Bombyx mori: one gene and its partner. The main gene of each other region encodes a partner of the protein of the gene in region 2 in a complex. Links are inferred from orthologs where the notes say so. Each region holds a gene or a part of one and is shown on either strand. Other genes may lie near its edges.

Region 1 (4,305 bases), on a different chromosome or scaffold from region 2:
AAATCAATTGACGGACCTGCAGTTGCCAAAAAATTTTTTATTCAGTTTGCTGATAAGAAAATGATTCCGTCAACAATCATACAAAATATGCAAAATGACAAGCTTGTGAATATTTATTCACTTGAACTGTGATTTCAACAACGATTGTTACCTATTTCTTCCAACTCCACTCTGGGTGTTCTCTGGCCACTTTTCTTAAGTGATATTCTGTACGATCTGAAGTAGATCAAGCCATCATCAGTAGCCGTGAAACTGAGGACATGTTCTAATCCCTGCAATCTAATGGTTTCCACCTATGAAAATATAAATACCATTTATTTTTACATTAATTGTCAATTTTTATTACTATAGAAATAAAATATAGTAATTTAATGATAGGTGGGAAATTAATTTGGTATTACTAATTAATTATATGAAGTACCAACAAAGCACTTATAGTTATTAAATTGTATTATAATTGCTTAATTATTATAATTTTTAAAGATATGCTGTACTGGTATAACATTTTAACAACATAACATTTGAATTCAATTACTGATACTGTAATAAATCCTTCCTTTATTTGACATTCATGAAAAAATGATTTTATTAATTTTCCAATATTATTTTTTACCTTTTCTCTGTGAAAGAAATCAGAGAACAGTGACTTCAATCGTGTTAAATCCTGGTTTAGCTCCCAAGCAGGTCCATTAAACAATAAACATGGTTTAGAACCAGCCAGGACTTTTATATTGTGAAATTCTGACATTGCCTTGTATTCTTCAGTACCAAGTTCAATCATATCCAATATTCCATAATCAAAAGTTCTACCCAAAACAATGTTGTGGGGGCGCTTCTTGCTGTGTGAACCAACACCAAACAGAGCCGCCTCTTTTTTGTAACATAACCTATAAAGCAGACAATCGAAAGTATAAGACTACTTTTACTATGTTTTTATAATATTTAGTTCACTTTTCACGAGTCGTAGACATTATTACAACTACTTTTATGATTTAATCTCATATTTTTTATTGTGAATATATTATATCTGGTGTTTTGAATATGTTACAGTTTGTACAAAAATATAATGAAAATCAGAATAATGAGAATATAACATGTACGTAGTTTTGATTGTCATTACAGTGTAGCATTTCCAAACTTTTCAGAATCAGACTTAATGAATATCGCCATTTAAATCCAAATAACAATGACTGAAAACTTTCTTTTACATTAATTAAAGAGCAATTATTTCAATATTATATATAGGGATCATATGAACAAATTTTAAGAAAATAATTTTAACAAATATATGTTTAAATCACTAAGTAAACTCTTTAAATTGGAACTTTTTAATCCAATTTTTAAAACAATTTTTTATTACTGTCGTGGCGTGCAATCTCATTGACAAGACATAAAACCTATAATGACTAGACATAGACAGACTAAGACAGACATTTGAAAATAATTCAAAAATAAATGGAACGAGGGCGTACGTGACCAGCAGCGAGGCAGTACATTTTTTGACTTCTGAAAAGACAGACATACAAAAAGACGAAACAGAACGAATAGTAATTGACCGTTCTTATATAAGATGTTCAAGTGACCTTCGACCGTTCAAGTAGTCATTCGACCGTTCAATTACTGATGCTTGAATGAAAATGTTTGGTTTAAAATCAATCTATATTACATTTTATATGTGGCTATTCATAGAAATAAGAGCTCTAAAAATAAACAACTTGGAGATTCATAAATAATTTACTAAGGAAATTTTATGTCGATAAAATTTAAAATGACAATGTAGCAAAGTGCATCGAAATTATTATAAATGCTATTAAATAACGAAATAACTGCCATAACCTATATAACTAGTATAAAGCAACGATGTAGGTATGCTCTGAAGAGTTCAAAAACTTAGTTAAAATTTTAATACTGATCCTACCTAGCAAGATACGAGAACAGGGAGCTAAGCTACTTTAGTTTAATATACATTCACTTGTATAAAATGCAAAATAACTTACTTCTCAATCAAACTACTGTCTTCAAATGGGACAAAATCGTTTTTGCGGCTGAGATAAGCGGCGTCAGGCTTTTTTAAATCATAGATATCCTTTAGTAGCTTTCTTGTCCTTTCTGACGGGTTGCGGCCTTGAAGGAAGATACTTTGTTTAGGACCTTCAATGGGCTTAGGTTCTTTCGATAGTAGAACCTTTTTTCCTTTACGAGTTGTAGGTTTCCTAAAAAAAATTTACTACTGTAAAATGATGCAAGTTATTGTGAAGAATAAGTAATGTTCATGCTAGTGTTGAAGAAAAGTACTTTATTCTTTGTAGCACAGGCATTTTGTTTACATGAAATCTCAAAAACACAACGAGATGCACACTTTTCTTAGTTGTCAACTCAAACACGTGAAAATTGTGATCACAGATAATAAATGATTGAAGTGTGAATTTATTACTATATAGGTCTATGAAATTTATGAAGTGTATCACGGTGTATCATCTATGCTTAAGAACGAAATTAGAGATGCCGATTAAGTTCAATTTACCCATGGAGTTAATAAGAATTTACCACAAAAGATCGATTATTTCATCGAAAAAGATCTCTGAATCGACATCAAATAGTAGAAAATCGAATTTGATTTTTAGAGTGCAATTAAATACAACAAGAAAATAGAATGAAACCACAAATAATAGAAAAAAATAATTTTAAATATATACTTATTTGGATAAGTTTCGACAACTGTCTATATAATATTGATCATTGTGATAATTGTTAATATTGTGTGATTTGATTGACTCTGTGTTTTTTTTTATTGTGTGTTTGAGTTGACAACTAAGAAAAAGTGTGCATCTCGTTGTGTTTTTGAGATTTCATGTAGGAGTGGGTAATATCGGTTTAACCGCGTATCGAATCGTATCTATATATCGAGTATCAATATCGGATATTGAATCTATATATTTTCTGAATCTATATATTGATGGATGCTAGTAGATTTTCTCGATTCATGATATTTGAGATTTGAAACGATACGCTGATATAATATCGTAGTAGATATAGATTTAAGTCAACGTTATACGGTTGGTTTTCTGATATCAATTTATAATATGATTTTAAAGTAATAAAAAGAACATGAAAATAAAAATATCAAAAAAACTTTCCTTCATGCTTTTATCAGACTTAGGACTGGCTACATTTTTTTCAGTTTTTAGTATTTTGTATCTTAATTTAAAATTACAAAATATATCAAAAGAGTGTAGATTTCAAAAGTTTAATACAAACACAAGAAATAAACTCAGTTATTTGGATTCAACTAAAAATAGAAAAATGTGTACTTTAAAAATCAAACACAAAAAACTTTTAAGTATTTATAAACACTTGTCCAAAAATTGTAGTTCAAGGTCAAAGCGCGTGAAATTAAATTCAACGATGCAAATAGGCTATACTGCATTCAAGTTAGGGTCGAAAATTGAAACTTCTTTCCTAAATTGTATCCTGCTGATACGCTAAGAATAATCTACAGACATATGGACTTAAATATAAGGTTTACAATTGTATGGATAATGCCTGTTTCTGTTTCATTCATCACATGATATCCCTATCGTGCGCTCACTCACTCTGACCGATTCGATACGAACCAAACGAATATTGCTGATATTCACGAATCGGTACGATATGCCGATGCGCATCACATCGAGTAATATCGTGTATCGGCTGATATCGTTATATAGATTTCGATTCACGAATCGGTACGATATGCCGATGCGCATCACATCGAGCAATATCGTGTATCAGCCGATATCGATATATAGATTTCGTGCGGGGCGATATCGGATTCAACGATATTGCTGCGATATATAGATATTGAATCTAGATACGATTTATATCGCCCACTCCTAATTTCATGTAAACAAACTGCCTGTGCTACAAAGAATAAAGTACTTTTCTTCAACACTAGCATGAACATTACTTATTCTTCACAATAACTTGCATCATTTTACAGTAGTAAATTTTTTTTAGGAAACCTACAACTCGTAAAGGAAAAAAGGTTCTACTATCGAAAGAACCTAAGCCCATTGAAGGTCCTAAACAAAGTATCTTCCTTCAAGGCCGCAACCCGTCAGAAAGGACAAGAAAGCTACTAAAGGATATCTATGATTTAAAAAAGCCTGACGCCGCTTATCTCAGCCGCAAAAACGATTTTGTATTTCAGCTTTGCCTTAATAACGTGTAGGTGAGCTCACAGGGCTCAAACCAGAAGTGTTGCTAACACTGGCCCTAGTAAGAGCAGTGCTTCGCAGAATCTACCACCGGGTCGGAAACGCGACC
Region 2 (4,321 bases):
TACCCGTGCGGGCTTACAAGACGGCCTCACACCAGTAATTACACAAACTGGTTTCATTTTTATTACACGATGATATTCCTTCATCGTGAAGCATTCATGAACATTTGTTAGGTTAGTACGTAACTATTTCATCAGAAAAATTTGTACATGCCTGCGGGACTCGAACACTGGCATAGTCGCATCACTCAGTGCAGAACAGTGCTTCGCAGAACCTACCGCCGGATCGGAAACGCGACCCGGAAACGACCCGCGACGCGAAAAGATCCGACGAGAAACTCTGTGACTTGTGTCTGTGGGTTAATTTACTCGCCTAGCCCTGCGCCGCAAGCGACAGTTTCGACGAGAATCACTCGATACGAGAGTATTGGAGACACCTTGTTCTTTTAGGCCACGACGACTTCACTCTTGTTACGTTCAAAACCAAACATATTTTTCGATTTAAAACAATGAACGCCTCATTTTTAAGGGTTTTATTAATAGTTAAGGAAAACAAAAAAACAAGTGTCAGTATTTTAGTTTTTATTAGTAATACATTCTGTAAGGCTTATATCATAGTTCTATCTCCTTTTCCGTCCAGTAGATTTCTTATTTGGTGCCCTTTTTCCCTTTCCTGCTTTAGGTTTCTTGGCTGAGAAATTTGTTGCATTGCCTTTACCTTGAGTTTTACGTTTTCCTAAGCCGGGTTTCATATTTTTCTTTTCGTGTGATCTCCTAATGATAATACAAACAATAGAAATCAGCTCATTTACTTCGAAGTAATAAAATAAAAACTTTAAAAAAAAAATTCTGATTATATCATTTTCAAATTTACAATAAAATAAAAATAATTTACTTACTTGACTTCCTCTTCATTTATACTTTTCGCTACAGCTTTATCCATATCAATTTTTGGCCTCTTACTCAGTATATTATCAAGTAGATTCAGGTTGTATTCTTTTTCTGCTGCCGGTGTTGGTATAGGTGCTTTACGTTTCCTCTCCTTGCCTGGGATTAGCTCATGTACACCTTTACCGCGTGCTTCTTTCTCTTTGGGTAATTTATCTTGGAATTTTCCAAGAGAAGCCGTTGATGCTTTTGCTACACTTGCTGCTGTGGATAACTGGAAAATTATGAAAAATAATTGTAGATTTATGCATTCATATATTTATAAAATCATTTAAATTATTATCTTTAAACAATAATGTAATGGATAAGCAAAACAAGATGAATGTAATAGTTTAGCAATAAAATTGCAACAGTTAAAAAGTTGTAGTATATCTAATTCTAACTTAATTACAAACAGCAAATGCTGCTTGGCTGTAAGAAAGATCAGGTATGCTACTTTGAGATCATCTAGAATAGAAAAAGGAAAATTGTCCTTTCATTGAATTAGACATGTATTTATTAAAGTATACTATTATCATTGTATAAGATGTCTAATTTGAAACTGAAAAAGGAAAAATTATAATTCAGTACAATATATATTTTTCTACTTGATCCTACCTGTGTGGCAGAAGCTTTATCTGAAGTGACAGGAAGCCCCACCCTTGGTATTTTAACCTTTTTGGCTCTAGCGAGATTCTTAAGTCTCTGTAATTCATTCTTTGCAACCTTTTCTGATTTTTCACCGGCTTTCTTTTCATACATATCTGTCATAGGATCTAAATTCTGTGGGACTTCTATAAGCCAGTTCTTCTCTTTTTCAGCTGCAGTTTTCTTGAAACTGATGATACAGAATTATATAGTCAATTATAGATATAGTTGATTGCCGACAATAATAAACGGACAATGTGTTTTACAACATCCTGGCTATTGGTTTGACTATAAAATACAGATTTTAAAATGATGATATCAATTTTTAATTTCTGCCTAAAAACTTTTGTAAATAAGGTTTTTATGGTTTGTGTTTATAGTTTTCTAGACAACTTTCATTATTCTACTATTGAAAACTCACCCATATAAAGGAACCCATTTCTGCAGCTGTTCATCCCATTGAAGTTTGTCTTTCTTTTTCTTATTAATACCCTTGGCTTTTGCGAACTCTTGCCATTTAGTTAATGGCTTAGGTACAGGCACTGGCTTGGCTCGGGGTAGGATTGTCGTAGGTTGTGGCAATCGAACTACTATGGCCTCTTCGATTCTTTCAGTGGGAAGCTCCCATACTTTATTCAGTAGTAGCTGAGCATTGTCACGGGTCAATGCAAGTAAATATGAATCTTTGTTTGTCCTAAACAACACATAAAATCAATTTAATTTGATAACAAAACATGTGCTGTTAACTAAATTTATGTTTAATCCTGAAATTAATAGTGACTATGCGTTTGCTAAAATGAGATAAGATGAAGACTTACTTCAGCGTTTTTATGTCCAAATCGTTTGTGTCAGAGGCCAATAGTGAACCTAGGTCGAATTCTAATTCCAAATGTTTTTCGACCGTTATTGGTTTATATTTATCTGCTTTCTTTTGTTCCCTTTCTAATATCTCATTTACAATATCCATTGTTATCAGAACACTTCCTTTTTACACATTAGAATTAACAAGCTTATTTGACTTGAGCTAATATTTTCCTTGCTTTACTTTTGTTGAAAAATAACCTCAAAATGTATTTTTTTTTTACAATTTAATTACATATATTTATGATTTCGTAGTTTTCTGGGCAACCACGTTTTGAACTCTGGCATAGATAATAAATATTTAACACATGTCATCATATTGGTAGCTTATTGTAGTAGATAATCTATGCACGTAGAATAATTATTTTAGAATTTTTATGTACATACATATATATTGAAACGATGGAACTCAAGTTCATTTTTATTTTATAATCTATAAATATTTATGTATTCAGTTCTATTACCGCGCATCACTGTACTGTACAGTAACTAAAAGGTGTAGGGGCTTCGTTCCCTTTGTATCACCAGCGAGTTAATAAATGAAGATTATGGAGCATGTCCAAACAGGAACAGGTATAGTGATATAAAGTATAAACGAAATGTATTATGCATAGCCCTCTACCAAGGTTTAATGATAGATAAGACATAAACATAAACGTTACATAGTAACTTTTTAATAATCTGTAACTCTGCCTCAACACTCGCGTATGACGTCGCACTGTGAAGAAACACCATGATCTGCGCCAGAACTGTGTCCCTCCACACTCACAAAGCTTCACAGCTCAGCCTTGTTCGCGATTATGATCGACGACGACGTGATTTCTGCTGCTGCTGTGTATTCTACATACACTTCACTTTCTTTCTATACAATCTATAGCTCGACTTAAGTGATTCTTTATTTTTCTTTAACTCTGACTCAGTTACAGGTGTATTTAAGATAGCACTTATGCGTGTCCAGGCATCATGAACCTTATTCTCATTTTTGTGGTCTTGATGTTTCGGCTTAGGTTTATGGCAATAAATGAGAGTCAGTTCCAGATCATTATTCCACCATTTATATTAGGATCAATCACCAACGCACGCATAACCACTCTACGATGTCCTGTACGCTACTGCGGTAAGCTGCGAGTGTGGATACATTCACGTTCGCGTGCCGCAAACCCTTTGTCGCGGGCCATAAAACCGACACAGATCGGGGAGCGACGCGCGAACGAGAAGGCGTGAACAACATCTACACTCGTGAATTCGCAGTTGTCGCGTTCGCGCCGCGAGTGTAGAGCCGACTTGACGCAGAGTAGGAAGGAATACCGTACTATAGCCATATTAGCCATGGAGTTAATAAGTTCAACTCTAGCTCTATGATTGTAGCCATAGATTATACACTTAAATTGTAGCGTAACTAGCGTAGCATTATAAACTCTAAAAAAAGAAAAATATCGCTTAACTGACATTTTCAATTAAAATAAATGTTTTAATTATTCTAATGCTCGTAGGATTTGTTAACTTAAGATTAAGTAAGATTAACTTGTTAAATTAAAGATTAAACACTTAATATTTGAGTTTAGTTTATTATTGTGTACAAAAAGCAATAAATACATTACCTAAATAAACTGAATTTCAATGTCAAGAACTAAAACTAACCCAAATGGTGGACATAAACAAATATTTAGAAATGCAACTTGAATTAGCGAAAAAGCAAATTGAGAGGAAAAATAGTCAGAAAGAAGATGTATCAACTAAAAGCAAATCTGCTGCTGATTACATATCGCAAAAACAGGCAAAGACTCTGTCAAAATTTCCCCACAATCAAAAAGTAGATGTAAAAACTACTGTGACATCAGGGACTTCAACTGAAGGACACCTCGATGACATCGATTTTGTACCTTCCGATGAGGAAGACGACAGTATCCATAATTTTCCGCTTACTGCGTGTTCTTCTCGTACCAAA

What was found.
Region 1: ribosome biogenesis regulatory protein homolog (region 2) and ribosome production factor 2 homolog share a complex: the UniProt entries of both Homo sapiens proteins name them as parts of the hexameric 5S RNP precursor complex. The link is inferred for Bombyx mori from reciprocal best matches to the Homo sapiens genes RRS1 and RPF2.

The regions. Positions count from the first base shown.
Region 1 is NC_085129.1:7,278,264-7,282,568, reverse strand, and holds the start of ribosome production factor 2 homolog, read right to left. Parts: upstream 2,823-4,305; 5' UTR 2,319-2,822; coding exon 2,296-2,318; intron 2,214-2,295; coding exon 1,998-2,213; intron 888-1,997; coding exon 614-887; intron 294-613; coding exon 152-293; intron 17-151; coding exon 1-16. UniProt on the Homo sapiens protein: Involved in ribosomal large subunit assembly. May regulate the localization of the 5S RNP/5S ribonucleoprotein particle to the nucleolus.
Region 2 is NC_085123.1:3,058,877-3,063,197, reverse strand, and holds ribosome biogenesis regulatory protein homolog, read right to left. Parts: upstream 2,884-4,321; 5' UTR 2,480-2,883; coding exon 2,331-2,479; intron 2,207-2,330; coding exon 1,934-2,206; intron 1,703-1,933; coding exon 1,483-1,702; intron 1,100-1,482; coding exon 837-1,099; intron 712-836; coding exon 558-711; 3' UTR 505-557; downstream 1-504. Other genes in the region: DNA excision repair protein ERCC-6, read left to right, coding at 4,019-4,321. UniProt on the Homo sapiens protein: Involved in ribosomal large subunit assembly. May regulate the localization of the 5S RNP/5S ribonucleoprotein particle to the nucleolus.